Linked DNA regions of Astyanax mexicanus. The protein of the gene in region 2 purifies or fractionates together with the protein of the main gene of each other region. This does not show direct contact. Links are inferred from orthologs where the notes say so. Each region holds a gene or a part of one and is shown on either strand. Other genes may lie near its edges. The genes, in order: lrp5 and sost.

Evidence for each region.
Region 1: the proteins of sost (region 2) and lrp5 purify together in Homo sapiens (affinity purification with mass spectrometry; 3 studies listed by BioGRID and IntAct, counting the BioPlex papers as one, with this or other methods). This does not show direct contact. The link is inferred for Astyanax mexicanus from reciprocal best matches to the Homo sapiens genes SOST and LRP5.

Annotation. Positions count from the first base shown.
Region 1 is NC_064417.1:10,258,963-10,275,564, forward strand, and holds the start of lrp5 (low-density lipoprotein receptor-related protein 5), read left to right. Parts: upstream 1-9,209; 5' UTR 9,210-9,402; coding exon 9,403-9,460; intron 9,461-16,602. UniProt on the Homo sapiens protein: Acts as a coreceptor with members of the frizzled family of seven-transmembrane spanning receptors to transduce signal by Wnt proteins.
Region 2 is NC_064422.1:28,980,082-28,996,940, reverse strand, and holds sost (sclerostin), read right to left. Parts: upstream 8,723-16,859; 5' UTR 8,613-8,722; coding exon 8,360-8,612; intron 5,562-8,359; coding exon 5,146-5,561; 3' UTR 3,059-5,145; downstream 1-3,058. UniProt on the Homo sapiens protein: Negative regulator of bone growth that acts through inhibition of Wnt signaling and bone formation.

The DNA.
Region 1 (16,602 bases), on a different chromosome or scaffold from region 2:
CCATAATGAAGGAGTATAATATTAAGAGACATTATGAAATAAAAAACAAATCTTAGTTCTCACAACACTCAAAGATAGATACAGATTATAACTCAAGTAAAATGGTGTGTAAATGATAGTAATGCAGAAACTGTATTATTATTAGTGGCATATTTCATTATTTGTTTTATTACAGCCTGTGAGTCTGTGGCCCGTGACTGCACATATATTTCTCCTTCTGGCCCCCAACCAAAAAGGTTTGGACACCCCTGCTCTAAATACAGCACCAGACCTAGCTCATAAAATTAACTAAATAGTTAATTTCCTGCATAAAAGCTCATTTTGGTGGCACAACACAAAAACTTGGATCAAGTAGTTCCTTCAAAATACTAAAGCATGTGTGAACTGTTCCAGAGCTATGTATATTCCATCACTGTCAAAATACCAACAGCTAATAACCATAAAGGGAAAGCATTACTGTTGTTCTTTCCTAGAAAACAACAGACATTAAAATGTCTTTTTTTTTTACATTTTTGTACTTGACTGTGCAATGTGTGCCTTTTTTGGCAACAAATATACAAGTGTTTGAGGAATATTTACTCTATACTGTAGAGCTATAGAGTAGCAAAAAATAGTTTTCATTCAGTAAATAAATGAAATTGGGAAACGTTATTATCCTTGGTCACATATGTGCGAAATTAAAATCCAAGTAATAAATACTAAGACCTGAACCAGCTGTGGTTGGCCTATCATAGCCTTTTATGTCAGTAATCTATTCATTCAAAAATGTGTATCCGTTTTAGTGGTTTTAGTTGTTGCAGAAGTCTGAATAAAGAATGATTAGATAAAGAATAATTATGATTAGTATAAAAATAAATACATACATACACATAAGAATAAATATCTTAATACTTTGTTATTTATGGGTTTCTTTATTAACCTTGTTTAATTTTTCTTTTGATTCATTTATTTATTTACATAATTATTTATTTTCTGCATTTATTCATTTCCCAATTTATTTATTTCTGTTTTTCCTTGTCCTTATATAATAATGAAGAGGCATGTTTTTCACATACAGGATTAGCAATCAAGCCCAGAGAGAGAGCAGCTGATATGAGTAGAAAAGTCCAGAAGCTGAAATTTCGGGGTGAAGTTCGGTATCGGACCTGCTGCTCACAGCTGCTCGCCTCAAAGAAATGGATCAGAGTCTGTATCATGAGCTAAGTGATCTTTTTTAAAAAATCTTCCACGTTACCAAAGTTACCACCAGAGGGGCAAGACATGTACAATCGATCTAGGGTATCTGACATCGATCAACCAATAGGAATGCTAAAACACTGTGATGTCATTGACCCTTCATTATCATATAAGGACAAGGAAAAACAGAAATAAATAAACTGGAAAATAAATGAATGCAGAAATAAATAGTTATGTAAATAAATAAACAAATATATTAAAAATGTAACAAAATTAAACAATGTTAATAAAGAAACCCATAAATAACTATTTATTTTGGTATTTATTTTTAGGTGTATATATTTTTTTATATTATTTATAATCATTCTTTACTGTTTTAATCATCATATTACTTTTATTAAATGATTTACATATTATTACATATTTTTTTTATTAATTTAATCATTTATAGTTTTGGTCCTCCATAGTAGGGAACACAGAAAACATGGAAAAAGGTGCTGTGGTTACATCAGACCAAAGTTGAAGATTCACCTTCCAGCAAGACAATGACCCTAAATATACAGCCAGAGCTATAGTGGAATGATTTAGATCAAATACATGTGGGAATGTCCCAGTCAAAGTCCTAATCTAAATACCATTGAGCTTTTGTGGCAAGACATAAATATTGCTGTTCACAGACGCTCTCCATCCAACCTGGCTGAGCTTAAGTTATTTTAAAGGAAGAATGGGCAAAAATCTCTAGAAGTCTCGAGATGCTCAAAGCTGGTAGAGACATACCCCAAAAGACTTTTGAATACTTTTGCACTTTGATTAATTTTATTTGATTTAAATGTTGAAAACCATGTTGGTGTTAAGGTGATAAAATGTGATTTTAAAATGTGAATTTAAAGGGATATGAATACTTTTGCAAGCCACTGTATTTTGCAAACATATTAAACTGCTTATAGGGTTCGATTTCAAAGATACATTTTGATTTTCTAAAAATATTTTAATTACTTAGATTTTTTTTGTCATGGCAGGGTGGACAGCTTAGGTTGTGGAGCATGGAGAAAATAAAAGAAATATTAAGTAAAATGAAAATTTATTCATATTAATTGCTAAACATATAGCAAGTGTCTTCACTTCCTTGACAATAAAACAGTACAAAGTTGTAATATCACTGATGAGATCAAAGGTTACTTTTCCTGAAGGGGCAGTTCTTAGACACATTTATATAGCTTGATATTTTTATGACAATAGATCAATGACTAATTGAAATGCCTAAATGATTTGAAAAAGCATCCTGCAGACAAAAGGATATTTTGACGTTACATTGATATTGACCCCCCTAAACAATATTAGGCTGGTGTCTGGAATGTTATAGTTGATTAGTACATTTTTTGTGAGTTAGGTTCAAGATATAAACAGCATGCATGCTAAAAAGAATGCTAAAAGCGTCTGGCATTCCTCTCTGAGTCAATAAGCTTCATCCTGCCACGTTTTCCCATGGAGCCAAAGCATTTTATTAAAGGAGCGTATCAATCAGGCTTTGGTGTAAACAAGATGGTACACATAAACAGACCACATCTGTAGCTCAATAATTGCTCCCTGGAAATATGTGATGCACATGCAGTGTCTGCTTGCAGGAGAAACGCTCAGCAAGTTTAATTGGTGGAGATGAAAGAAAAAAAGTGTTTTTTTTCTCCCCTGAAAACAAAGGCCTCCTTGATGAGGGCGTCCATCCGACACCTTTACGACAGCCTCATCAGGGAGAGCCTTGTGTTCAGGAGGAAAAAAATGAGGTTCAGACAAATATGTTTTTTATTAAAGCAAATCTGGGTGCAGCTTTAAGACTGGTGTGAACTTTAGCAACGTTAGCTGCGTTAGCACTGTAGACAGGAATGCGTCCACAGAGTAACGTTTTGCAACTCGTGGGCTGAATTCATGACCTCAAAGTGCTTTGCTATATTCCTCAAACAGCTTTTGCTTCATTTTTCATGTGGCGTTTGGCCTTTAGTTGCACAATCACTCAAATGCTTTCTCAGTGCCAGACAAAATAAACTGAGTGAATGCTGAAAAAACACATCTCCTGGGTGATGATGGTGGCGCTGTTTCAATTTCGAAACTAGAATCAAAACCAATTGCTGTCTATCAGCCAAGACTTAGCTTAATATACAGTATCTCACAAAATTCAGTTTACCCCTCACATTTTTGTAAATTCTTTATTATAATTTTTCATGGGACAACACTGAAGATATGACACATACAGTGTCAAGTAGCCAGTGCATATCCTGTATAAGAGTGTAAATTTGGTGTGCCCTCAAAATAGCTCAACACACAGTCACCTCAGAGTGAAAATGACTAAACTGTGCCCAAAGTGTTAATATTTTGTGTAGCCTCCATTATTTTCCAGCACTGTGTGAAGTTTACTAGAGTTTCACAGCTTGCTACTGCAATCATCTTCCACTCATTCATGACTACATCACACAGCTGGTGGGTGTTAGAGATCTTGCACTCCTCCACCTTCTGTTTGAGGATGCCTCATAGAAGCTCAATAAGGTTTAGGTCTGGAGACATGCTTGGCCAGTCCAGCACCTTTCCCCTTCTTACCTTTTCTTTAACAAGGCAGTAGTTATGTTGGAGGTGTGTTTGGGGTTGGTATTGTATTGTATTGTTGGAATACTGCTCTGCGGCCCAGTTGCTCTGCTTTAGTATGGCAAAGTACAAGTTCGCTAGGGTAGTGAACTGTAGTTCCCCACAGCCGGCGGCACTCATGCAGCCCCAAACCATCCGTGCAGGCACGCAACAGTTTAAGATGTTATGTTGATGTTTTTTTTTTTGTAATCTGAAATCATGACCAACATTCAAACTAAAATTAACGTCTATTGACGTTGGTGGCCAGCTGGGATGACAATCCACCACCTTGCTGCCACCGTTCTGTGGCACAGTGTCAGGGTCATCTTTGTGTAGAGCAATAATCCTTTTTTTTAAATCCTCAGAGAGTTATTTGCCATGAGTTGCCATGTTGAACTTCCAGTGACCAGTATGATAGAGTGTGAGATAACTCTCTTTTAAATGCACACATAGCATTCCTTTTTTGTGTAGAAAACCATTACTAATACAATAGGACTCTCTGGAGCAGATGAACATGAACCTATTGGCACTTTACCCAATGCCATGTTTGATCTAACGGGACCCTACAGCGTTGAGATATAGAGCAGTGGAACTGTGTTCTCTGAAATAATGGTGCTCTATACCATACCTATGGCATGAGTTGGGGAGTTGGCAGTGAAGTGAGGTACGGATCATCCATCCAACATTCTGACCTCATTAATGCTTTTGTCACTGAATGCAATCTGAACCTCACAGCAAATGCTCCAAAATGTAGCAGAAAGTTTTCCCTGTAAAGTAGAGACTGTTACGCTAACAAAAGTAGGATAAAATATTTTTAATATTCTTGTTTACAGTTGAATGTTCATAGAAGAGTCCAGTGTATGATGCGTGTGTATATGAGGTAAAGGGGGGTTGTTGTTTTTGCTGAAGTATCTCTTTAATATTTTATCTTCTGTTATAGAAAACAATAGCATTCCTGTTTTCTGGCCGTCTGAAGCAGCAGGAAATCAGGGCCTTTTGGGTTATGTGACTGTAATATTAAAGTGATGTATTGTGGGTAGTGGTAGGTGGTTGAAAGGGTGTTAGCGTTGAGCTTGCTGACGTTCTGCTGCAGGAGGCCGTGTGTTTTAGAGAACCTGTTCCACATGGCCTTCATTACCTCACAAACTATGTCTTATATTCAGTCTTGGCAGCGATTTGGCCGGCAAGCTCCAGCTCTGAGGCGTATAAAACACAAACTGAGGGAGAGGGAGAGAGAGAGAGTTTTATTTGTGGACAGGGCCTGGTGGATCAAAGCAAGCGCCGCAGGCCTCTCTGCACAGGTGACCGTAAAGACAGGTTTCATTATGGCATTTTTCTCTGGGCTCTGAATCACTGCCCACTCCTCTCACACGCACCTCTCTTTACCTCCCTCCCTCTCTCTCTATTTCTCACCCTGTTAAACCCAATCACTTTCTTTCTCTTTTTCTTTCACCCTGTCTCTCTCTCTTTCCCTGTTTGACCTCTTGCACTCTTTCTTTCTCTCTCTCTGACTGTTTTAACAACAAGGGTGGCAAATGTTTAACCATCTTAACCAGCAGATATGTTTAATTGACATAAATAACGGTCATTAAAAAAGTCTTAGTAAAAAAATATACTATTATCACTAATATTACTACTAGATGTGATAGTAGAAGTAGTAGTAGTGATTGGCGATAAGTCAGACCAAGGATTTGTTGCCGAAAGACATTCCTCGGAAACCCTTGCTGTGTGTGGGTGAGCATTATCCTGCTGAAAAATAGCAGTTAGAAGCCCTGCTATGAGAGACAACACCAGTCTGCAGGATGTCCTACACATATCTCTGAGTTGTTAGTGTCCTTCATATCACTACTAGGGGTGACCGCTTGTTGTATGAATTGGCTCCCCAGATCATCCAACCAGCAGCCGGGGCAGAGTGATGCTCCACAGCAAAAGCAGGATTAAAGTGTCACTACAAGGCTTTCATACTTAAAGCCCCCATCGTCAGATCCCATACAGAACCTGTTTTCAGCATTAAAGATCATACAATTCTAGTCCACAGCACTCCAAGTGTCCTGTTTACCTCATCACTGGAAGTCACAGAGAGAAATAAGACTTAAAGATTCTTCTTTAAAGGGATATTTCACTTACCCAAATCATTGGACCCAGGTTTCAATCGCTTCCATGGCCACAGGTGTATAAAACCAAGCAGCTAGGTATGCAGAAAGCTTCTACAAACATTAGTGAAATAATGGGTCTCTCAGGAGCTCAGTAAGCTCCAGTGTTATACCCTGATAGCAACAAGTCCAGTCATGAAATGTCCTCACTACCAAATATTCCACAGCCAACTGTCAGTGATATTATAACACAGTGGAAGCGACTGGATATGAAAGCAACTATCTCTGTTAGTGTGCAGCATAGTGTGCAGAGGTCACCAACTTCCTGCAGAATCAATCACTGCAGACCTTCAAACTTAATGTGGTCTTCACATTAGCTAAAGAACAGCAGAGCATTAGGAGCTTCATGGAATGGGTTTCCATGACCGAGCAACTCCATGTAAGCCTTTTACCAAAGACTGCATTGCGCAGGTGATTGGATACTTAGTAAATGTAGAAGAACTAAATTATTTAACATTTTTGTACTTAAGTATTGCATGTAGTTTATTGTATAATGTAGTACTGGAGTACTGCAAGTAAAAGAACAGTACCGTGTTATATGTTAAGCAGTTGAAAGTTCTCAGTGAAAGGAGAAACAGGAGCAACAAGGTCTTCTTTTAAGATCTGCTTGATTTACACAATGATGAGAAGCTTTGTCAAACCTGGAGACAGTGCAGAGGATCTACTTATCTGGCTTTAGTGATAATGTGGGTTTGAAACATTTTTAACTTTTTTAGAATGGTAACGAGCATTAATGCAGCACATAAAAAGGTATACAGTACAGATGCAGCAATTTAGTACTTAAGTATTGTATTGAATTAGTTCTAGAATAGTAAAACCCTCTAGCATTGAGCTGTGAAGCAGTGTAACTTGTCTCTGGATTTTTTGGAAAATTATGGATGAGGTGGAGTAAACAATAGAGGCAGTTACTCTAACAAAAGCAGGATAAACTAAAAAAAGAAGTAGAAACAACAAATAAGCAGGTGTCCTAATACTTTCTGCCATTATAGTGTTTTTGATTTTTATGTTGCATGTTTGTCTGTATGGACTTTCAACGTAGTGAATATTTCATAAGCGGACCTTATTACATATATTTTATACTCCTGGCCTAGATGGCAGACAGTGTGTCAAAATGACCATCCTGCTTTTCTCATTTTAATGATACAGTTCAAAAACATGCATCATAAAGGCATGCCTACCAGTCACTGATCTCTCACAAAGAGGTACACTACCCAAAAGCAGCCTCTGAGAGCCAAAAAGGCTTAAAAAAAAGCCTAAGAGCAGGAGGAAGAACCACTGAGAGAAACTGAGACTTAAAAGAGAAACCAGTCATGGTCTTATTCACTTAGTCTATTTATTGCTATTGCTTAGTATTTAAGACTAATTCTGTCTGCCCTGTGTTGTACCACATTCTACAGCCCGTTATCATAACAAGCTGAAAAAATAGAACTTCATCGCCAAGAAAAGCGATGGCAACAAAGGAGTAAATGGTTTATCATTACAACTTTTTTTAAGAATGTGTGGGAATTTGAACAGTTCAATTCAATTTAACACAGTTTTGTATAATTAATACATTTAACTGTGTTCAAACCAAGTCTTCCTGGCAAAAATGGGGATTTTTAGATGCTTCCTCTAATTGCAGCATCCTGTGTCATCACTAAATGAACTTCTCTGTTTCAAATATATTTTTATTATATCTTCCTTATGCTTGAAAGTTCCAGTTCCTCTTTGCAATGGAAGAAGGGTCTATTAATGGCTCTGAAACACTCCTTTGCTGCATTCTAAATAAGAACTACACACTAATACTGTAAAATGTATATACTAGTAACAATAACAATAACAAGTTCTCCAGGTGAATTTTTACAGCATTTGCATTGTTATCTGCCAGTGTAATTTTATAGTACTGTTTTAGACATAAGTAGCTTCTCCCTATTCGTTTTGCATTGCATTATGGGATATTTGCACTCAAAAACAGACCAGTTCCACTTTTATCTGTACTACACATTTCACAATCAAAGACTGATAACATACTGATTAATACACAAATGGGATATACTGAGAGTAAACGCAGCATGAATGATCATAGTTAAACTGCTCTGGGTTGATTGGTGGGCAGTCAACCATTAATCTGTTCATGGATGTAATCTCATAGCTACAATGTGTAAATTTTTAGACTCAAAGATCTGCACTACACTTCTTACAAAAAAAAGCAAGGACATTTTATTTTTTCCATTTTTTACTAGTAAGAGGCCTTGGAGCCTTGGAAATCTGAGACTGAAAGCTTATCAGAGAAAAGAAATCCTTGTAAAGAAAGTTGTTCTGCTGTCTAAACCAAGTCAATCAATTTATAACTTTAAACTGAACTTTAACCCCCTTAATCTGGCTCAGACCTGCAAAAGGTAGACACACACACACACACACACACGCACGCACACAAATGCACACAAGTCCTCCATGTTTCCCAACCCGTTTCCTGGCAGTCTCTTCTCTGTTGGAGAGAACCACATCCAAAATGTCTCTTCCCAATAACAACATCTCCTTCAATACCTTCAGATACCCTGTTACCTCAGATCAGATTCAGATTAATTTCAGCTCAAAATTACACTTCACTCAGTTTTTGTTTCAAATTAAATTTCGCTTCGATTCAGATCAGCGTAGATCAGATTCAAATTTGACTCGATTTAGATTAAAGTCAACCCAGATTAGATTTAAATTCAGTTTAGATAATAATTATGATAATAATAATAATAACAACATAATAATACAAAAATATTTAAACACTCTTAGCAAGAATAGCTACTAATATTTGTTTTATAACAACCGTGGAAACCATTTGATGCTTGATAAAAATATCTTAACATCTTAAACATATCAATATTTGATTTAGATTTTTTTTCAGATGAAACCTTTTTAATGTTTTTAAAATATCTTTATCTTAATCAAACATTATCAGTTTATATTGAATTACGCAGCTATTTGCATGTTGCTCTGGGTTTAATCCGCTTTAAATGGTTGTATCTAGAGTTGTATTTTTCACGCCGGAGTTGTGGCGGCTTTTTATTTCCCGCCCGTATTCAGGAAAGTCCCGTCTCCTCCGTGCCTTGATTGGCTCACTTGGAGCTCGCAGTTCTTGCTCATGCGCAGAGACACCTCCCGTTGTAGAAGGACGAGGCTGCGCGCGAGGGCTCTGGCAAGTGTGAACTCCGAGCGCCAATTACATTGCAGGGGGCGGGGCCTCTCCCCAAAACAGGTGCAAAAAGAAAAATCAGTACGATCCCAGGCGCTGACGTCAGAACCCGTTTCCGCTGTCATTCCCTGTAGGAGCCACACAGAGAGCGCGGTCCTGTGTTTCTCTCGGACGGAATAAAAGTACTTTCGCGGTTCCAAGGCGGACTAAAAAGTTGCTTTTGGACTTTTCTGACCCGCCAGCCACCCGAAACATGGATTTGAAGCCGCGCAGCTGAAGCGAGGACGGCCCGAGATGGAGCTTTTATTCGCGCAGCTGCTGCTGCTGAGCTGCGGTGTGACGGTGCTGTGCGGTGAGTGAAGGACTTTTGTTCACATTTTGTGCTGAAAATCGCTGCTAAAAGTCCCGCAACTCGGATTAAAGCCGTGTAAACAGCGTACAAGTCCGTATAACACGCATCTAAATACTAACACATGGAGGAACCGGTTTCTAATTCGGTTTAAAACTGGTTTAAACTGTGATTGTGTACTTAGTGGACACTTTCTGGGAGGCGGATTTGCTGAAAATGCACTGAGAAAATGGAGCTGCAGGAGTTGTAAAAGTGATCAGAAACCGAATTAAATGTTATAAAACACGATATTGGTGTAAACGACCCTATTTGGGAACAGATGAAAAAAATGTAAGGTATAGTTAGATGGTAATCCTGAAGTTAAATTGAGCATTTTTATACTCTATAGTTTGTCACCATAAAAAGAAGTACAAACGTCTTTAAACACAGTTATAATGATTTTTAAAAATCGTATAAACCTGCATATACAGTTAAAAACAAAGTTGTTATAGAGAAAACACAATTAATAGAATAACTAAGCTATTTGCTCTATTCATGAGTGCCAAAACAATCACTTTTGATTCAGTTCAGCTCAAATTTAATTCAGGTTCTGATTCAGATTAGAGTTACATCAGTTTTAGTTAAGATTTAGCTCAGATTTGTCCATTTGAGTTGGATTAACATAGATTGGCTCAGATTTGGTTCAAAGTTCATGTAGATTTGCCTCAACATAGGATTTATTTACATTAGGACTTAAATCAGGTTTATCACGGGTTTTATTTTAAATTCTGTTCATTTTTTTTAGATTCAGCTCAGCCTAGCCCAGATTCAACTTTAACTTTAAATGCAGCTTAAAATATTAAATACAGCTTAAGATCAGCTGGATATCCAGAAAAAAAAACCTACACTGTGTAAACTAATCTCTTTAATTCAGATTTTAATATTAAATGTGGTACCAAAATTTAAATACTTCTACAGCACATACACTTCACACACATTCAAGCTGAATTCACTAAGACCAAAAAATGTGGGAAAATAAACATTTCCCAAGTGCCCTGCTGCATGTTTAAACTGGGTTCGGTTACTTTTAGGGTGGATTGAAGCCTTGCTGCTCCACAGCTGCTGTGGAATGTGTAAGTGTGTAAAAACGTGTACATGTGTAAACTAAAGTTTTATTCAGATTTAGGGGTAGTGTTTACTGTTTTACCTCAGATTTACTCTCTTATTCTGAAGTATGGACACAAGGTGTTTGGTTACTTTAGTGATAATGAGGCTGAAGGGTTGACTGCCTGGCCTTGGTGTCGAATAGCAGACTCAGAAGTGCACACAGATATAAAAAGGGGGAGAGTAGTATTTTGTGTGTAAATAAACAATTACACACTATCAAAAATAGTTTCTTTTTAAAATAGGTTAAATATCAGTTATCTGATATTTTAAATTGGATAAATCTGGACATATTACATTTGATCTCAGAGAGTGAAGTGTGTTCAGTGCTGTTCAAACATCTGATTTCATTTAATGAAAAACAGATTAGATAAACTGAATATTAGATGGGAACTGGGAATACTAGACACCTTTCAGGAGAGCAGTACAGAAATAACAACAAACAGCTTTATAGATTATTTTCTCAGGTTGTTAGGATTTTACTGTGATTTAATGACCCAAGGTGTATTTATTCATCAACTTCCTTACTATTTTTCCAGTAATAATATTTGTGTTGATTTATTATCCAAAAACAGAATACATTTTTGCACCAATCTCTTTATCCCGTACCGTGACCCACGCTATTACTTTTAGACTGATATGTAAATTACCTATGTTCTGACTGGCTGCCTAATTTAAAAGGCACTCTGAGCTGAAACACTCCTTATAATGTGAGTGCGTGTGGGCGGAGCTGAACTGATGTAGACTGAATAGGCAGATATACAATGATGGAATGCATTGTGTTTTTTGTGATCTCTCCAAAACAGTTTGTACAGAAGGACTGGGGTATAAATGGTATGCCAAAAAGGGTTCTTGACTGAAGCAAAATGTGTTGTTAGTATTCTTTGTGTTGATGGAAGATGATTAATATAGAAATATTTAAGAAATGGTTTAATGGAAAGCACCAAAAAAGGACAACAAATATTTTTGCAGTGCTATATTGAAGCTTTTTGTCTAGAGTGTGGTTTTAAGCCATTTTAGTTAAGTCTTCTATTTAAAAAGCACTCTGTGGTTTTCTGTCATATGGGCTCTTTAATCAGAACTGATTTGTTGAGTATCGGGAGTGAGATGGCTGGACTCATTGAGATACAGGACTGTGCAAAATGTTAGTCCCCTGTGAAAATCTAAATGAGACCCCCTTTTTTGGGTAGTTTGTGATCATTTTTTTGTTAGTCTTTTAGTCTTTTTGGCTTTATTTTTTTGTTTTGTTTTATGATGTGCAGAAAAAGATCACATCATACATCACTGTTCATTAAAACATCTCTAAAGTTCTTTTCATGGGAGTCTAGTAGTAGTTTGATTTGTCCCCAACACCTGGTTTGGTAAATCAGTGATTATTGATGTTAAACCAGGTGAGCTGGTGGTGGAATTGAAGACATCTACTGGGGCGTTGGCTGCGGGTGTCCAGTAGAAATCTGGACCTGAGCTTTGTTCTTTAGCTTTCTCACAGGAACTTCAAAATGAGAAATTCTTGTTACTTTTTTACTTTTTACTTTTAAATTATATGATTAGATTTTGGGCCCTGTCATTGTGGTAGGTTAACATGTTGCACTTAAGCCTGTGAACAATTTCATAACTAAAAGAAAATTAAATGCTTACGGTTGCAGTGTAAGGATAGAGCATGCAATACTTGCACACTAAGCAACAAGAGTCTGTATTGTGCTGAAAAAGAGAACAGTACTGAACCCAGACCCAATACTGGTGCTGTAGAACCATTTTAAATTTTTAAATGGGGGGGGGGGGGGGGTCTTTAGGGGTTCTATGGTGAAGGATATTTTTACACTGAAAGTCCAATCCAAGGTGGATGTTTTTTGTACTAGGGCTTGATATGAACCGTATGAAAGCCACAACCAGTGACATGTTTCGTCTTGCCTTGACCTTGCCAGTAGATCAAGACCGGCAGTGTCTGAGGCCGAGACCAGATTAAGTTATTTTTTATCATATAAATAGAAAATGCAGAAAAATAAATAATCTGTTAATAATGGTGTAAAATTGCTGTTAAAATACACTGTCATCCATAGCACAGTGATTTCTGTTGAGTTTTTGCTTCACATTTTTCAATTTTTCAAACAGGACTTTTTGCATTCTCTATAATGAACTGTTGTGTCAGTGTTACAGTGCTATATTCTTTTTTTTGTCATCAGCTACAGGGGTGGAGTCTCTCTATACTTCATATGAATTGGTTTGTAAAATGTTAGTTATGAGTTTGGTGAGTTGCTTTGTCAGGTGTTGTGATGAATTGTAGCTTTCTGTCAGAATCTCTCTTCACGAACATGATTCTCCTCAGATTCCTTTTCATAAATTTGAAAAAGTTTATAAATAAGGTTTAATCTACTGTTACAGTAAATGAATTAATTCCCAGTATAAGCATTTGTGTTCATACTGCTGTGTGATGTGCCTGCTCACCAGGGAGAGTCAGATTTCAGCACAACAATTATTTTTTCTTCTGCTTTGTTTAGGGACTAATTCAACTTACTGTAATTGCTCTGAAAGTCCATCTAGAACCATTAAAAAAAGTGTTTTACACTGCAGACAAACTGGACCATGATTTAGTAGATTCTTTCAATCAGCCTCTTTTGGTTGGTTCAGACTCTGGTCCTTTGGTTCAGACCGTGGTTCACGCCCCCTTTAACAAATGCCACTTTAGTTCAGACCCAAACTGAAAAGTTAGAAATTTCAGACCAAACAAGGGAGGTGTGAAATCCCCCTTAATTGCGCAGATAAAAGAACTTTGCCAGGTCTTATCGTCATCACATTTTTCCAGAATTTCCCTATGTTTGACACTAGAGTGATTTGTAGAATGTTATCAATTCTGTGAGTTGCCTTTATGTGTGTTGTACCAAATCCAACTGCCTGGCAAAATCTCCTTTCGAGTCATGCATGTCACAGTAGAATAAGAGCAAAGTTCTTTAAACACAAGAAAAACTTAATGTCGATACTTTTACAGAATGGGTTCATACAGGCCTGTCACAATAATTACACTATCGACTTATCTTACAATAAATGACCGGAATAATATTTGATAATCATAATATTGTCTATTATGTTTATTTGTATGTTTGTTCACATATTTAATTAGTTCACAAAATTATTTAGTTAAAATTGTTGTATTTAAAAAGGTATAATTGCTATGTTTTGCAATTCTATATTCATTATATAAATTGCATGTAATGGTCTGAAAATAATTTAAATTTCATTTATCACAATAATCTCAATGATGTATCATTCACGGAAGATTGTTATTGTGACAGTCCTAGTTCCGTATAGTACTGAAAACAATGGCTCCTCTATTGCAGTGCTTTGTAAACACCTACAGTATAGTCAGTTAATAATCTGTCACAGACTGACAGAGTATTTTAACCTGGGATACTCAATAGTGTTGGAAACGTATCCATATCCATATCCATATCCATATCCATATCGGCACATAATTGCATTGGACAGATGATATATTTGATTAGTCTATATAGTAAGGTGTTTTGGTAGACCTGCTTTTCTGAAACCACGTGTATTAAATTGTAGTCTACCCTGCTTTTGTTGGAGTAACCATCTTCATATCCAGGCATGGCTTTCTCCTTGATTTTGGAGCATGGCTGTGGGGATTTGTTTGCATTCAGTATAGATTATTGAGGCCAGGATGCTGGATGGGATCACTACCCCACCTCAGCCCCTACTTTCCAAATAATCCCAAAAGTATTCCGTCCTGTTGGCAGTAATTCTCTACATGTGCATGTGTGTGTGCGCGCATGTGTGTGTGTGCGCGCATGTGTGTGTGTGCGCGCATGTGTGTGTGTGCGCGCATGTGTGTGTGTGCGCGCATGTGTGTGTGTGCGCGCATGTGTGTGTGTGCGCGCATGTGTGTGTGCGCGCATGTGTGTGTGCGCGCATGTGTGTGTGCGCGCTTGTGTGTGTGTGTGTGTAGTTGCATGTTTGTGTCAGCAATAGGTGCAATGTGAAATAGCTGAATACATTCATTAAAAGGGGTTGTCCACAAACGTTTGGTCAAGTATATGTATAGTGTATATATAGAACAAGTGTATTTTTAGGAAGCTCTGTTTTAAGTGGTTTGGTTAAGTGGTTCTTTACAGTGCTCTGATTGATCACTGACCTTAGATTCAGTCCATCACTCAAAACATGTTTGGTATCTGGCATCTGCTTCTTAAGTATACAATGGGAAAGGCTAGGCTAATGTTGCTAATAAACACTAGATATAGTGTTTATATTAGAGAACATGCACAAAACTTTCTTATTTTTTTAAACTAAAACCATGTTGAAAAGATAAACAAATAGGATTGTAGTAAAGCTGTAATTACTTTACTTTACTTTACTTTTTTTTTTAGCAGAACTGCTTAATTGAACTAAGCATTGGTTTTTATTATATGCAAATTTTGAGTGATTTTTTTGTGTGAAAGGAAATTACTTTCGGTGCCAATGGTCTTTATACTGCAGATGGAGATTTATTAATGCTGAAATGTCCTTTTAAGTGTCACAAATGCATAGTACTCAAATCCAGGATGAGTTCTCATGTGTATAATGATGTGAACAATGGAGGCAAGATTAATTATATGATAAATATCAACCAAATCTGCAGATTTTTGGTGCATTTTATTTTCTGAGTAGTTTCTTGTATGATGTGAATTTTAAGTAGGTTTTACTTTGTTTTAATATAAGGTGTAACCTAGTTGTCTTTTTAAACAAACATTGATTTTCAAATCTCAGTCAGTCATACAGATTTCTCCTTTATAACATTTAGAGAATTCGACCGTGTCTCTCTGCAGCACGTCTCATCTTCAATCTTCCAAAAGGAGTCATGTGACTCCTTTGCTGCGTTCCCTCCACTAGATTCCTTTAGTCGCCAGCATCAGTTTTAAAACCTTGACGCTGGCCTACAAAGCCATAATCGGACCTAAAACTAGATCTGTACCGGTGGAATTCATACACCCTGACTCTGTCCTGGAACGAACTTTCACTGGGTGTCAGGATCTCCTTCCATCCCCAACTAAAGACTCATCTTTTTAAAGAATTCCTCAACTAAAAATTTGTGTCTAAACATTGTCAAAGCTTGATGTGTCTTTCTGATTCTAGTCTCTATGAATTAGCTGTGGATATTTCCAAAGTAAACAAAGAAACGTCTGCTAAATACCTTTAATGTAAATATGAATACCTTAAATTATTTGTTTGATCAGAAGTTTTTGTACAACTAAATATTCCCCAATGGTGGAACAAACTACCTTCCATTACCAGAGCAGGAGGGCCCCTGACTACCTTTAAGAAACTCCCGAAGACAGAGCTCTTCAAAGAGCACTTACTCTCCTAACACCTCTAACAAACTAACCTCATTTCCTGCTCCGCCTCCTTTCCTTTTATATCCCACTATTTCCTCTTGGCCTTATTTAGACCTTGTCAAAAAATGTTTTTGCCTTGAACTTCTGTGTCCTCTGTTGCATCACATCATTATTTGTACGATCTCCTTAGATGTTTACTCTGCTTAATGAATGCCAATAATTTGATTCTTCTAAAACAGACCACAGGTGTCTTTCCTCATGGTTGTTTAACAAATGAGAAGCTACTCACTGCATCAGTTAGGGTTAAATAACTTGTTGCCAGCTGAAATATAATCACCCATGCAGTAATTATTCAATTTGAGGTTTGTATTTACTTGCTTAGTTATATCAGAGTTTGCAGTGGTCAGTGTTGGTCACAGTTCCATTTGTGCCCCAGGCAGACTCACAATTCTGTTTGGTATTGGTACAACAGGAGGAATATTTTTTATCATTATTAAGTTGAAGTGTACAGAGATTTTATTTAAAGAGAATTTCTTTCAGGTTATTTAGTATGAAATGTTCAGTGTACTAATCAAATCTTTTGTAAAAAAATCTTATTTGCATTTTGTTTTTTGTTTCTATTTTTGGAAAGTGTAGAAGAGTGTTTGTCTGTTTTTTTTTTTCTTCCTTTTTTGGTTA
Region 2 (16,859 bases):
AACCCTTAAAGGCTTGTTTGGCCTGGGCTGAATTTGAATGAGGCACTCAGCATGCAGCGAGTGTCTGTTTATGTTTATTACTGCTAATCCGAGTGACGATCACAAAAAGATGTTCTTTGTTTATATAAGACAAAGCGCCATCCACTTACGAATATATATCTCCTGATCATCTTCAAAAGGTGACACTCGATCTCCATAATTGAATTTGCTTTTCATTTGGATCTGTTAAACACTCTTTGAGCATCTCACCACAATCAAACAGTAACAGTGTGCGAGCTGGAGACATCTGACCACAGCACTATCAGGATCAAAGTAGATGGCAGCTCTTAAATGAGCATTTCAAAAGTGGAATCTTCTGACTGACGTGTGGAATGGTTCGAGCACAGCAGTGGAAAGTGAATTTCACATAAAAGGGCTGGCTTATGAGACTCTGATGTTAAACAAGTTTTAGTAGATTGTGAATCTCAAAGACAAAAGGGTAAATGAGGTGAAGAAAAACTAATCAGAGAGTGTGAACGAGCTCTTTCGAAAATTAACCTCTGTAAAAGTCTTTAAAATGCTTATATCAAGTTATATAGTTTTGACTTACTATAGGCAAAATATATTATAATGTTAATGAAGATATTTTGTATGCTTTGATTGTAATGTTCTAAATTCTGGTTTAAACTCTCTGAATATTTTAATGCACAATAAAACTGAATTATACTATTTTTCAACTGTAAATGCCAATTTAAAAAGTGTGAACAATCAATCACTGTGATAGCTGAGCAGATTAAGCAATCCATCTGTGTAATGTAAATGACTTGAGAACAATATAGTTAAAGGAATTCCACAGATTTCTTTTAAATTTCTGCATAATTCAACCAAAGTAAAGTTACAAAAAAAACATTTCTATATAATAATGAAAAACGGTAGAATACTGGTCACATCAAATTCACTTATAAACGGCCACAACAACTTTTGTGTAAGATGTTGGATAATGTTTGATTAAGTGTTGCTGATCAGATCATAAAGAGCAACAGCAACATAGTGCTGTTAGGTGGAGGAAGTTAATAGTGAGAAAGGGGGAGTTTAAAGTATATGTGTATACCTATGTGTAACCACAGATGTTGGGTGCAGGATTTATTATCTTTCTTTATTATGTAACTTACACAGGATGATTTTATTTCTCATATTAAGGCATCTCTATAGCAACATAAAAAACATATTGTCACGTTCCAATAAAAAAAGTATCTCTATTTTTGACAATTTTAGTTTGTTAAATTAATTTGAACACACAAAATCTTGCACTCTGTTAAAATATCTTGATGAATAGACCAATAGAAATTTTCCATTTTCTTTATTTCTATTGAAAGTTAAAAATGTTTTTTTTTCTTTCTTGTGAAGTTGCTGTTTTGAAGATACATGTTTTTCATGGGACATCGACCATATGAGAAGTGTAAATATCACCCAACTCACTTCAACTCATCCAGCTCACCCAAGAAACCCCTGCTTTTACAGAGATATTTCATGTTTTGTCAGGCAAACTGCATTTCAGGGCTGTAACACATTCTATAAAGACAATATTAGGTTATATATTAGGTATTAGGCAATATTTAGGTTAGAAATGATTAAATCTTAATTATTTCTGATTTGAGGTTTTCAATTACGTTTGATATTATTTTGTGTAGTAACACAAAATAATATCAAACGTAATTGAAAACCTCAAATCAGAAATAATTAAGATTCAATTATTAATACACATCTAACAGTCTGTGTCAGTCATGATTACAAGCACCTGTTGACATCACCTATTTAAAATCACATAATCATTTATTATATATTTTTTATAATTATTAATCATTTTTATTCATTGTTTTTGTTTCCAGTACATTTATATTGAATGCCTTATCATCATGAATTATATAAATTATTATACTTATACAGTTACACGTTTATGGTAACAGCCCGGCTTAAAGTGCAGCACTTATTCTGTTCTATTCACTCCTGGTGCTGGAGGCCTGTTCAGAGCTGCTGAGTATGAGACAGCATGCAGCCACTGAAGTGTTAAACCGACTCACAACAGCCAGTCTCATGTCTGCCCATCCACCCTTGACTTCCCCGTGGCTGTGGAACACTGTGCCAGGTCAGTGCAGAGTAACGAGTGTGCGTATGGCCGCCGTAACTCAGGGCAGATGCTTTGTCAGCATCAATTTCTTTAGGTAGTACTCATGTGTCGCTCTCCAACACTTGTTCTTAAATTACTTGGGAAATGTCTATGCCTGCCAGCTGCGTTTGAGTGAAAGCATGGCATGTAAAGTGACTCTGGATACGGCTTGATTGTGATATTGAAAATGACTGTAATAGATGAACCCGGGAGATTAGGTAACTATTGTTGAATATTGGCTCAGGAAAAGAAAGCCATTCAGTCTGGAAGGTCGTTCTTTCTTTTCCCCCCTAAATTTTGGGTTCCTCCTCTGTGTTTGATTAGCCCCTATTTTCCACAAAGGCCTGCCATACATTACGTGAAAGTTTGGAAAATGCTAATTTGTATGATTTACAGCATAAACACCTCATTGAGTTTTGTGCACTGCACAGGCTGGAGCTAGTTAGCCGCGCGTTGGGAGTTCCTCCACAAGCAGCTTACACGCAGCACTCGAGTGTGTAACAGACATGACAAACACAGAGGCCATCAAGATTAAGTGGAGTAAGAAAAGGCTGACAGTCGTACTCTTCTTTACGCTTTAAAGCCGGGCTCGTGAGTAATACCTAAAGCCTGTCAAACAAACGGCTGAATGGCGGTGTACAGGCCGAGTTCCCCGTGCTGCTGCCGGGACTGAACTGCTCATGTCTGACATGCCAGTTCTTTTGTGCAAATTCTTTTTTTCTCGCCTTTTGTAGGCATCTCGCTAGACATTCCAAAGCGCAACAAAGCAGCCACTTCCCAATTGCAGCGCATTGTTTATTGAGGCTTCGCTGAGAGACAGGGCTTAGCGTGCAGGGGCAGCCAGAGAAGCACTCGTGAAAAGAGTCAGAAAGATAACAAATACACAGACACAGACAAAGACACATACACGTCTTTCTCATATACTTTGCTTTACTTTATTCTCTTTTTGTTAGGAAATTCACTATTATTTCATATAGTACAATAATGGCTATTTTCTACAAAAAAGGTTGCATAAATAATTTAAATGTTGACATTAAAAAATAAATATGCAGTTCGTTCTTTGTACGAGTCCCTCTCCAAGCCGGAGAGGGCGTGGGTCCCTCCATTGAGCAGTTCAGTCATTTGGAGGGCTTTACGCTTCATGAGACCAAGCAGGTTCAGTATATACAGTCAGGCTATACATGGTGATTCTGCTTACATGATAAAAACGTGAAAACATGAAAAAAGAAATCCCTTCCAGTTTCTAATTCAAACACACAATTGAAAAAGAAGCAAACACAGTCAGTACTGTTTAGAAAGCAGAGATGGGGAGAAAACATAATGGGGAGAAAACGGTGGTGTTGAACAATGTGTGGAAGTAAGCAAAATATTTTTCATTCAGTCATGGACTGGAGGCAGGCGCGCTGGATATCGAGACAAATAAAAAAAGACTTGGTTCCAGACTGGTTCTACTGTACATCCGGCATAATATCAACATACACCCACATTCACTTCAATTCAGTATTTCATTTTGTCTAGTCTCATAGCTTAAGCAGGGTTGTGAAAAAAAAGGCAGAAGGATGTTTAGGGAATGGTTTCTTGTTTTTGGCGAGTCCAGTCTCTACATGCATGCCACTTTTCACGTTTCACATTTTTACTGAAGGAAGTTATGGAAAGAGGGCGGGTTTGCAGAGCAGCCATTCCTCAACCACATTTGATTTTAGTATCAGACACCTTCCACTAAATACCTTCTTTGCTTATATACTGTACACGCTGTGATATATATATATAAGTGAAACATTTCATAATGGCGAGGCAAACATGACTTTTACATGACTTTTAGCTAAGATGTACAAGCACAACTTTACACAATTTTACATTCTGTACAGTGCTTCCATTTAAGGCTCATTATTATCGGACTTAGATCATCGATAACACCAACCACCCTGTTACTGCAACTGACCAATAAAACTACAATGGTTTCCAGAAAAGTCTTTTAGGTATGAACAGGCCCAATTGTTCCAGATTCCTACACACATGTGGGCCCCTTTTTCTGCTATTCAGACAAACAGGAACTGACCACGTCTAGAGGAAATGGCTTTTTATGGCCCAAGTCCTAAACACAGGAATGGGACTCTTTAGTAATTGGGACAAGTTGGGTCAGTGGAATTAGTGCTCTGGGCCCTAGGGGAGTCATGATCATGGAGTGCTGACATAACTGTTCCCACTCTCCATCACTGACAGTGGGCTGGCTTCAGCTGACAGCTCCTATAAGGCTACTTCTGGAAAGGTAAAGGCTGTGGGAATTCTGGTGGCTGGCTTAATATTCCCAGCCTGTCAAAGGAGCTCCAGGGTTGGAAATGCTGGATCTCAGCAACGTGTCATCGGCCAGTCATCCCTTGGGTCCGGCAGCCCTGGGCAGCTGGACCGTACGCAGCTACACCATGCCCCAAATGTGATGACTTCATTTCAGTTATGCAAACATTCACCTCGGCCACAAGTTCGGAGCACTGCTGGTGGTGGATTCGGTCATGCTTATGGCGGTTAACTTCAGTGTCAATGTTCATCTCAGCTAACCTTTTAATGAACTTCAGGAAAGTGAACTGATTGTTGGATTGGGTCAGAGAGGCCCTCCACAGGAACTACGCCAACTACCGGGTTTTCTAGAGTAATCTCCCACAACAGCGTACCTCCTTTCAAGCAAAAGTCCGATAAAGTCCTCAGGAATTTGGTAATCAAACATCTGTTTTCTTTGGAATTATTCATTGTGAAAGGGTCAGGCAAACGGTGAGGCGTTTTTTTTAAACACGCTGGAGACGTGAAAAATGAATGTAAGATAGCTTCAGCCGCTGCTGAAAATGGCATTTAACTCCATAAAAATAATCCTTTTTTAATAGATATCTTCAACTTTCTTTCCCTCGAACTTGAGCACTGGCGTTTGGGCAGTATGCAGTAATGTTTGTGAGTATGTGTGAGAGTGAGAGTGCATGTATACAAAGAAAACCTCCTCCTTCTCTTCTTCAGTAGGAGTTGCTGCTGATAGTCGGCTCTCTGCTCCGGCCTCGTGTCTGCTGGACACGTGTGTGCTTCTTGTTGCGCCGTGTTTTTTGGGAAGGTTCCTTGGCGTCCGACAGATTGTGGTGCCGGGTGTAGCGTTTGCACTTGCAAGAGGTCACCACTCGGATTTTGTAGGTCCTGTTCTGGCCGCTTGGGCACTGCAGCTGGACGCGCTGGGTGCGGGAATGGGCCGGAATGCAGCGGTAGTCAGATGCGTTGCTGCGCCACCACTTGCTCCGGAGGATGGAGTTGGGCATTAGGTGAGCAGGCAGACACTGGCCCGAACACACCAGCTCCTTCACTGGCTTGGCACTGCGGCAGGAGCCGTCGGTGATGTAGCGGGTGGAGCGCAGTTCACGACAGCTCAGCTCTGAGGCTCCTGAACACACAAGGAACACAAAAGAAACAAATAAGACCAGGAACAAATTGTACACTTTGTTTTGGGCTACATTTACATTTACTTATTAAACACTGGTATGGGGCTGTTGATATGTGGGCTCTCCAATTTTCTAGATATTTCATAATCTGTCTTCACAGTTTAATGATTTGTAATTGCCGCCCACTAGGCACATCCTTTTACATGCTACCTGTGCAGTGAAGGCTAGTGTGTGCTTCCTCCAATTAGGGTTGGGCAATTAATAAATAAAAAAAAAGCGAAAAAATCAGAACCTCTAACCAACTTAATTTAAGTTTATTAAGTAATATTAAAATAGTATAAATATCACTTTATGAACTTTTTATATCACTTTTTGAATTTTAATACAACACAATCCGTCATTGGATAGCTGAACACTAAATTCCAATTCTTTTACGTGGGCTAATAGACGACTGCACTGGCTAGCATCTTTAGAGACAAAAAATCCAGTCATCCTTATTCTATAACATTTTTCCTAAAGCCAAGAACCATTTAAAAACCTTTATTTATGTTGCTGAAGAAACCTTTATCATCATTTGGAGTGGGATTGCTGGCACCTCAGTGGGAAGTGTGAAGTGAATGAGATTTATTTTTCAACACCTGCTATTTTTTCTTGGTTTAAACATAAAACTCAGCCCTGCTCAAACTTTATCACGTCAGCTCCAGGCCTACATCCACAAGCTGTTACTCATTTCGCAGTGGCTCCTCGCTGAATTACAGCAGAAAGCGTTGGAGGTGTCAGCAAAAGCAGTGATACTGTGGAGGGATCTGTTTCCTTCTGCAGCTCTGCTCACACACAACAACAAAGGATTTATGTGTGTGTGATGAGTTCAGGTTTTCTCTCCCTGCCTTTCTACAGAACCTGATCTGTTTTATGAAGGCCCAGTCGTAGCGCTCCCCTCGCTGTGAGAGTGGGAAGGGACTGGATGCCGGCCAGAGCGAGGTCAGCACATCCAGCATAACCCCAAACTGTCCACTAGAGACTGAACACAAACCCCACTTGGGGATGCAGGGTGTGTGACGGTCCTTTACAGATTAGCTTATGATACATGCCTGTTGCCTTAATTCCATTATCTTCATTATATAACTGAAGTATAACAGGCTCTGTCTTTATGGATTCAGTTCTTGTGGATCTGTTACTTCAGTCACTTTTTTCTGTAATTCTGTTTAAAAAGCACCAATTTGGGCTTAATTTGAACACTCCAGCTACTGAAGTATTCCCAAACTGAAGCATTAAATGATCAGAAGGGTGCTGACAACAATGACGGCCATAATTCAGGTGAAAACTCAGCGAACGGTTGAGTTTTCAGCAGAGCTTAGTAACCACAGGTGGGAGTCATTCGCTAAAACAGTGTTGCATTTAAATAACAATTTTCAAATACCCTCAAGAAATTTCCCCACAGACTCTGACATGCTCTTCTACTTGAGAACATGCTGATGCAATTAGATAGTTATGTAGACCTTGACTAATTGTATAAAAGTGCGGAAATGGCAGGAAAACACTGAGTTATCAGTACATCACCTGCCTGAAACACACAAGTGCTGATTCCTCTCGCACTTTCATATCCTGCAGGAGGACTCAGAAAGATGCAACGGTGTATTAAAATATCTGATACGATACACTCTATTAATGTATGGAAAGAATACTGAGAAAATGTTCTAAAAACTACAAAAGTGTAGTTATTACTACAAATTTAATAGGATGTAAACTGTTAAAAAAAAACACACTCGCTTCAGTTATCTCGTTTATCTCTGTAAAACGATCTCCCAGCTTTCAGTTTCACGCATGTTTGTCCTTTGCTACAGAGAAGCTATGCCTGACCCAGGTTTTATCACCCTCGGGGGCCTTTGGGCAGCCTAAACCAGAGGATCGCCATCAATGAGCCTTAACCCAAACCACACATTTCACACAGACATGGTGCACATTCTCTGTTAAATATAAAGAATCTTAGAAAAAATGGTTTAAACCACTTTTTAAAGGACTTTAAAGGAAAGAAAATATGAAATTTACACATTCGTTCTCTGAAATTCATTTTAAAGGAAATAAGGGGGAAATTTGTAAGGTTCATTTCCCAGACAGGGATTAAGTAATAAGTCTACTCGTATTTTCCTATCAATTGAAAATTTCCAATTTAATGACTAAGCTTAATTCCTGTTCAGTAAGTTGTAAGTTTGACTGTAAGTTTTATTGTAAGGTAATGTCAAAATTTCATTTTGGACTATTTACAATGAAATGTTCTGACATTATAAACTGGAGAAATTGGTAAAATATATATATATATATATATATATATATATATATATATATATATATATATATATATATATATATATATATATAATTATTATTATTTATGTAAAAAAATAAGATTTCAAGGTTTGGTCCCTACAGAGGAGGCCTTCGTTTTTACTGCTAAAACTTTTTGATTCAGAATAACCTGAATTACTTTAAGTAGAATAAAAGGCCAATCCTATGTGAGAAGTTTTTTGTAAGTAAAGCTTAATATTAAAAAAGGGTTGACTTTAGCCTTTAAAGCAATTAATCGATTATTCAAGCCTTCTCACTGAACTAATTAATCAAATCTGCAGTAATTAGCATGTGTATATCAGCTATTTAAACGTCAGAAGAGCTAGACAGCTATGACTGCTAGATGTCTAATTCTCTTCAGAGGCTTTTAAATGTGTGTAAATGAAGCTGTTTTGAGGGGTTTGAGTAAACAGGTAACTATAAAAGATGATTTGGTCAGAAATAGGTTACTTGCCGTAAGTGGGGCTGTTAGCTGACGACCTCCTGCCCCCGTTCTTCGCCTGGTTCATGTTGTTGGTGTTGGTGTTGCTGCTGTTGAGGGGCTGCCTCTGCTGCTCTGGATGTGGGGTATCCTCGGTGTACTCCTCCAGGAGCTCTGTGGCATCGTTCTTCAGGGCTCCCCATGCCCCAGCTCCACTCAGCCAAACCTGCAGCAGCAGCAGCAGCGGCCACGAGTGCACGAGCAACACGGATACAGACACGTGCATTTCTTCAGCTTCACTCAGGCAGGGCTCCTCTCAGGGTTTCTCTCAGGGCCAGCTTCACTAATCTCTCCCATCCGGCAGCAGCGCGTCCTCCTTAAGTACCTCCGCGAAGAGCCGCGACAATTAAAGCGCTCAGCCGGAGAGGGAGGAGGAGCAGCCCATTCACAAAGTGATGGGGAGGAGGGAAGACTGTGTGTGAAAATGTGTGTATATGTGCGTGTCTGGGCATGCATTCAGCTATTTGTGGGGACTATAATTGTGTCCTCAGAATAATGTTGTTATAAATACACGTATAAATAAATTATAATACATGTTTTTGTGCTAGAATTAAGGGTGAGGCTAGTTTAGGTGCAGTACGGCAGCCCTGACGAAGCTAATACACATTTCAAAATCAGTTCCCTGCAAAGACAGGAAAACAGGAATACGTGTGAGTGAACATATGCATGTGCGCGTCACCTAGAGATGCCTGAGGTATTTACCACCTTGTGGGGACCTACACATACATACGCATAAAAAACCGCACAAGAAAAACTCAGGCCTACATAAGATGTTTACAGTGTAAAATGGAGCTGGGCAAATGTTCAGGTTTGAATTTAGTCAAATTGTTAATTTGTTTATGAATTCAAAACAGAAAGTACATATTATCTGCTGGTTTTGATTTGTATAGATTATTATAGATTAGAGTATATGTGAATACGGCCGCTGTTATTGATGATACTGTGTTTAAATATCCTGAGGAATGGACCAATAGAAATGCTGCAAAATATAATTGAATTAAATCTTTTTTTTATATTTGTCTATTTTTGTATATTATAAATATATTTGTATATGTATATTTTGTGCACAACAGTGACATAGATCAATATATTCAAATATAGATCAATATGTACATTCTAGAACAGCAGCTACATTTTGTGTCTCCCAGATAAAGCTTTTGCCATTTTTCAAAAACAATATGCATTGAAACATTTTGGAATAATAAAGCTAATTACATGAATTCTCCATTTTTAAATAATGTTTGGTGTTTATATTATGCAAAATTCATTCAATTAAACGAGTCCTCTCCTCACATTATTGTCTTATCATCCTGATTTATACATTTAACTTTTAATTAGCTTTTATATGAATTAATATCTTGTTTATATGTCGTATCTAATTTTCATTTTTGTGCTTACTCTATTAATGCCAATAACAAATATTTGTAAATACCTTTTTTTCTGTGCAAGTTGTTATTTTAGTAATTAAACAAATAGATGTCTTTAACACAAGATGCCTGTAAAAAGTTGTTATTTCTAATATAAAAATATCTTCTTTGCAACAAATCTTCAAGGAGCTCCAATAAAAAAAAAACACACACACACACAATCAGTGATGTCACATCCTCTGGTGGAAAAATGTGGAAGGCAGTGAAATATGTCAAACTTCTAATCTCATTATGTAATGTTATGTATATTACATGTTGAGGATTCACCTATGGTATATTAATTATTGGTCAGATATTTTTATTTTGATATTGAATCAATCTCCCCTTCAATTTCTAGGAACAGTTTAACAATAACAGAGTGGACTGGTGAGTACATTTTTAATACTACCAACAGTTCTAGAATGGCCCATGAATAGAGGACATAACAGAAAACAAAACAAAACAAAAACAGAAAAAAAACATTCAGTTAAAATTAAACATAAAACATAAAAATTTTATATTTTAAAAAACGTCCAAAATCAGAGCACAGATTCCAGGTTTTACAGCTTTTCGTTTATAATAATGACTGTAAATAACATCCATATCTGTAATAAAGAGACAGAATATACTTGTTTGTACTTTACACATATGTTCACAGCATGTGCATTATTCTTTCAGATTTTTTGTTAAACCAATTTTTCCCTGCAAAGTTACCATCTTTAGAATGAAAGGTTTCTTTGTGAAGTCATAAAGGGAAATAAAGGGAAAACTAACTGGAGAACAGTTTTAAACAACACTCCGCTTCATCAGTCTGTATAAAAAAAATGTTTAAAGCAGCCTTTGTATATAGTATATAAGTACCCCAATTATATCAGTATATAATTACCCCAACTTACTATGCAGTAACCAGTAAGAGAACCAGCTTATCTGTCAGATCTACAGCCTGTGTGGTTAGAAACTGACGCTCAAGCATACTGAGCTATAGATGTGACATAATAAGCTCAAACCAGTATGACACTGACTCATTTGTACAAATGCTGCCCTCTTGAGGGAACGCAAACATACAGATTATTTAAAACGGGTGCAGGAATCCACTCCACCATGGCTTGCAGCAACACCTGACCTACTCTGGTAAAAAAAAAAAAAAAAAAAAAAAACTTTTTTATTGTGGAAATGATTGTGGGTAGTAATATATAAGTGTGCTTTCTAATGGCTTAGCAGAAAAGGGTGGAGTGTACCTAAAAATGCCATTTGTGGGTGGGGTCAATATAAATATAACATACGGTGTGTAACAGTTTATTTGTCAACACATTAACACATTATTATAAATATTAAGGAATGTTGATCTTCACTGTAATGTTCTTTTTTGTTCATTTTAAACAACTTTTTTGAGGTGAGGGGTGGAGCTGTGTTTGCCATATCTGCAGTGCTGCATGGTTCATTTGAATGGTTACAAAATGGATAAAAATATATCTATTTAAAGTTTCTAATTTTTTTTTACTTCATGTCCACACTATTGTCTTGGAATAACCAACCGTTAGATAAAATAACCACTGACATCAGTGAAATCACAACCTTCACACTGTAGAAAACCTTCACACTGTAGACTGACTGAAGACACTTGCTGTTCAACAATTAATATTATTTATTTTACCTAATATTTCTCATATTTTTTCTGAACTTATCTGAGATTTTAAGATCTTAATCCCCTTATGGTAAAATCTTAAAAAAATATTTAAAATGTTTTTAGAAAGAAATCAAAATGAATCTTTGAAAGAGGAAAAGATAATCAAGAACAATGTACAATTTCTGGGACTCGAGGCCAAACATGTTTTCATCAAACGCGTTGCTAAAATTGTCTTCGCTAAAATTGTCCACCCCCTCATACAGCTTGCCATGACAGGATGGACATACATTTTTTTAAATAAAAAGTGATTAACCTTAGAAAATATGATATCTGTGTAGTCAAAAGTTAGAAATCAGATAATATGTCATTATATAAATATGATAAAATAATTTAAAATCTCAAGTCATTTTGTGGAAAGTTCTGAGCATTCTGATAATGGCCCGGCATCTAAGTTTAAAAGCAGACATTTTTGTGCTGTCGTCTCTCGTCTGATCGTCGCATTGTCTGATCATATATGGAACTGAAGCCTCTGCCACACTGCGGGAATGAAAGGGAAGAACCGAGTGTTTGTGACTCCTCATCTGTCACTCTTGTCAGCACAACAGAAGGGAAGGATCCCACTGTCCACCGCGGTTCCTCGCTGATTGCACCCTGCGCTCGCTCTCTGTCATTGACGGACTCTTTTTATACCTCCTTGGGTTTGTGTACCGAAATGCAGGACGGAGCCATGTTCTGTCATGATAGCAGCTTAAAGATAAATAACCCTCAGATGTGGCCCAGATTTCACTCCGGCCGCCAGTAAAGGATATTTTTATAGGAAAGAAGTAACACAATGTTGAAGTCGCATAAACAAAGTCTTTAACTCCGCAGGACTGACGGTGAGAGGCCTTCAGATGGATGGACTACTAACAGACTTTCTGGCCACACAGTGCTGAAGAAACGTTGTGATAAGATGATACTGGGTCAAGTTCTGGCAGATGTGTTATTCTTGCAAAGATGTTTTTCAGTCCTGCTGCGTCTTTCCTCTCGTGTGGGGAATTTACATTCTGCTAAAAAATACAAGGTTTCATTTCTGCAGAATAATACGCTTAGTTCCTCACTGCAGAGAATTGATTTTTACCAGGTTTAGATTATTTTTCTAGGAGATGACAGCTGTATGCTATAGGATATATTTTTCACTTTATTTAATTTGACATTTACATTACACAAAGTTTGACACTATGACACATTCAGGAATTTTAATTTATTACAATAAAAGCAAAAAAAAAGTAAAACACAAAATATTTTATGTTTTATCCAGTCAAATTCATTTAATTTGTCAAAATTCAGCAAACATTCTGTATTGAGGACAGGTCAGGACTGCAGGCAGGCCAGTCCAGTACCTTTAACCCTGCGCCTTTCATAATCCACATGCCTTAGTAATGCGTGCAGTTTATGGTTTTGCATTGTTTTGTTGAAAAATGCATGGACGTACCAGGAAACGATGTTGTCTTAAAGGCAGCATATAACTAAACAATCGAAGACATCAGTGTACTTTATTAGTACTTAATTATTGCTACCATGACAGTTGTGTACTGCCACAATGCCTTATGATGCCTTATTGGACCTGTTCCTGATAAAAGTCTGTATGATCTTTTCATTTTTGGTCCAGAGCTCAAAGCATCAACTTCCTTCAAAAAGATTTGGAGTACTGATTTGTCTGACCACAATATATGTTTCTAGCATTTGCTGGTCTATCCTAAATGCATTTGAGACCAGTTTTAGTTAATTGCTGCTTCCACAATCCCCCAAGCATGACTGCTGCCTGTACTCAGCAAAAGTGTGACATCCTTTGATAAATGCAGGGCCACCTTTATAGACATTATTTCCTAGTATATGCCTTTTTTAACACTATTTCCCTAGAGAAGAGTTCATTTTTCATTTTTTTTATATTTTAAATATTAAGTGTGACAATGCTTAAAGTATATAGGTTTTAATCAGAAACATCTTATGAATATATATGTATATATATATATATATATATATATATATATATATATATATATATATACATATATTTAAATAACTGATTATCACAGGGATTTATCAGTCGACTCATGCTTTAGTAAAGCTTAGTAAAATAACAGATTAAAAACCTGGTCCATAGACACATTTATCAGTCTACTCATGCTTCAGCACAGCACAAAAGTGTCAAAAATACAGCCCAATGACTAGAATTAAAAGTTATATTCTGGGTCACTTAATGAACTTAAAACTCATTTTCAGTAATAAAAATATTGGAATGTGTGTAATATGGCCTATTATTCCTCCTACATGTTTATTTATGTAGGGAATGACCGTTCTTAAATATTATCTCTAAGTTTTCAGAAAGTAAATGTAAAATGTCCAGACTATTAACCTATTTTTGTGTGCAAAATAAGTGAGATGAATACGGCATATTATTTCCTGGAATGTTTTGCTTCATTTTCTTTTTTGTTCCAAAAAATCCAGAGGCTGATTTTTCAAGTATGTACATACAAACCCACAAATCTGATTAGACACCGTACATCTGCAAGACTTCATCGTTCCACAAGATTAAGTAATGTATTATATTTCGTCCAGGGTACGTTGGGTTAAATATGAGAGAACAGCTTCACTCTAGCTCAGTCATGTGTTTGGCTTTTAGCATGTTACGAGCACTTTGTGGCTGAGCCCAAACATATTAAAATCTGTCGGAGATTTAAAGGTTATCTGAAGTTGCATGCTTTCCCACTGTGAGGCCTTCTGATTTCCAAACTGAAAACAACACATCTGGACTCACTGAACACTTATTAACTCGTAATGCGTCTACTCATCATTTTTAAAACTGCAAGGTGAAACTCTGAAATCACACTTCTATAGTTTTCACAGCATTAATACTGTATAATGAACTACTTTTTTTTTACTGTAGAGCCTGCATAGGGCATGTTACTGTAGATCTGCAAAGCATCATGGTCAAAATTCAGTGAACAGTTCAGTCATTTTAGAGAAGGTTTCTTTTTCAGCTGTTTAAACAAGAATCCGTCTTTGCTACTGGTACATTTTCTATTATTACCAACTCATCATGCAGACAGAAAGACATCTTTATCTGCTGCATAACGACATAAAAAGCTATAGCAATTTAGATAATATGCAGCTGAAAACATACAGGAAAAGGCAGCCAGTCTTAAGGCTTAACAGACATGCTAGTTTTCGGTTACCTCAGCTTGCTAACAAAGCTTTTTCAGCACATATATATTTCGAGTGATACAGATTGAATCTGTGTCTGTGAAGATGTAGTAACTGATACCAAGTGTGAAAAGTGGCAGTGAAAGTTTTCATTTTCTTCAGTTTATTCAGGTAAAGTGTATTATTGAACTTCAACGTGGAAGTTTCTATGAAAATGCTATGTTAGGTACATAGCTAACGCTAGCTGCACTGCACTTGGAGAAAGAAAGGTTGGAGAGGTACACCTTTCTTAGTATGTGAGCATATTGTTTTATAGGCACTGTGAATAAATATACAGTATGCACACTTTAAAATGTACTTATTTATATTATTGTATATTATTACAGTTACTATTCTTTTTGACAGTGTAGCATCCACTTAAAAGCAAACGTTCTAGTACCCTGTACACTGTACACTTCACCAGCTCCACTGTGCATGTGCCTTGTGCTTAAAGCAGCTCATTTGAGTTTAGAAACAGTGGAAACCTCAGCTGTGGTTTAGTAAACCTCACAGACCGCTGGGTCCATGTGTTAACCACCCTGCTCTTGCCCTCTCTGTACCCAGCTTAAACTGACATTCCTGCTGCAGGTGCTATTCTTAGCAGCTCAACTAATTAGCCAGCAAATTATTGCCTCCAAATGTGCAGCTCCTCCGACAGGTTTTATGTGTGTGTATTTTTTATTCTTTTTTTTAACAAGACTCTCACACGGTGCCTGCTTGCTCGCAGGGAGCCTCATGCATTCTCTAAAAGATGAGGTGACATAATAGCCTGTCACCATATGATCTCCTGTGGGATTTGGGGTAAAAGACATGGATTTCTTGTGGTTTTTCGCAAAACGAAACATGTTGTGAGCTTGTCCCAAGAACCTTGCAACATTGCTCGAGTATTCATCAGAATCTTTGGTTTCAGCTTGACTTTGTTACAGTCCAGATCACTTGTTCTATACCAATCTGAGTCCAGAAATTTCTAGTGAGATATTACAGAGCAACGTTTCCCATGCCTCGAAATTCCCCCCGTAATTGGTTTGGCATTGTCAGCTCTTCGCCGTGACCTATGTTTACCATTTGATGTTCTTCGTCAATGTTATTCATTAAATGGAAAGACCTTTGCTTTATAAGACTGTGTTACACTCGGGCCATAAATTATGCACGCTATGTTTGTATAACCTCTGCTGATGAAGGAAAGAAGATGCTGGTGTGTATGCAGTGCAGCAACTGGGCCAGGATGGAGGTGCTGTCAGAGATATAGCGTCCATATGGTCTGTAAATGAAGTTCTCAGTGTACTACACCAGTTTTATTAGCAGCGCACTGGAGCGACAATAGGAATGGCATGTGGGTCAGTGGCGTCTGAATATCGTGCTCAGCTGGACTTTAACTCAACTCAGCAAATAGAATTAAGGTCTATGGGTTGGTGCTGTGTGTTGTAACCTCGTCAACCAGAAAATATTGTATTAATAATGTATTCTGTATACTGGAATGTCAGTTATCTTAAATAAATGATCATTTATGAATTTGCACATTGAAAAAACACATATACAGTGCAGTGTTATAGATTTTTTATAACATTTTCTGAGATGATTATTTCTTAGCATGGGCCAGCAAATTTCCATTAGGTATTCATCGCACATATACACTACATGTATCCAAGCACACTTCAGGAAAATCTGAATTGTTTCTCAAATCAGATCTGTTGACAGAACAGTCCACATTCTTTTTTTTACAAGTGAACAGATCGAATTTGTGTATAGACACTACAAATGTATCTTCATGGTTTGTTTTGGTATTAAGGTCAGCATCAATTACTATCCTTCAGTGCTGAGCTTGGACCTCAGCACTTCCATCGTATTCAATTTGATGACGTTGTTGTTTAACTTTTTATGCATCAGTTGCACATGCACAGCTTAAGTAATCTCCATAAAAAAGCATCCCCAGCAGGTACATATGAGGTAGCAATGGGCATTTCTGGTCCTGAAGGGCTGAGCAGTTTTTTTTAAAGTTGAGTATACCCAAATATCAACACTATATTCTCAAGACCTGGTAGGTACATCTAAAAGGGATGAGCTTCTGACAGCTGGAACAATATTTGATTAATATATACTATATACTTTAAAGTATTGGTGTATAGCTTGCAATTAGGAGCAGCCTTTGCTTTTCCTGCTCAAATAGGTTTAATAGGTCTGTTAGAGCAGAGAAATCAGCAAACTGGGCTGAACC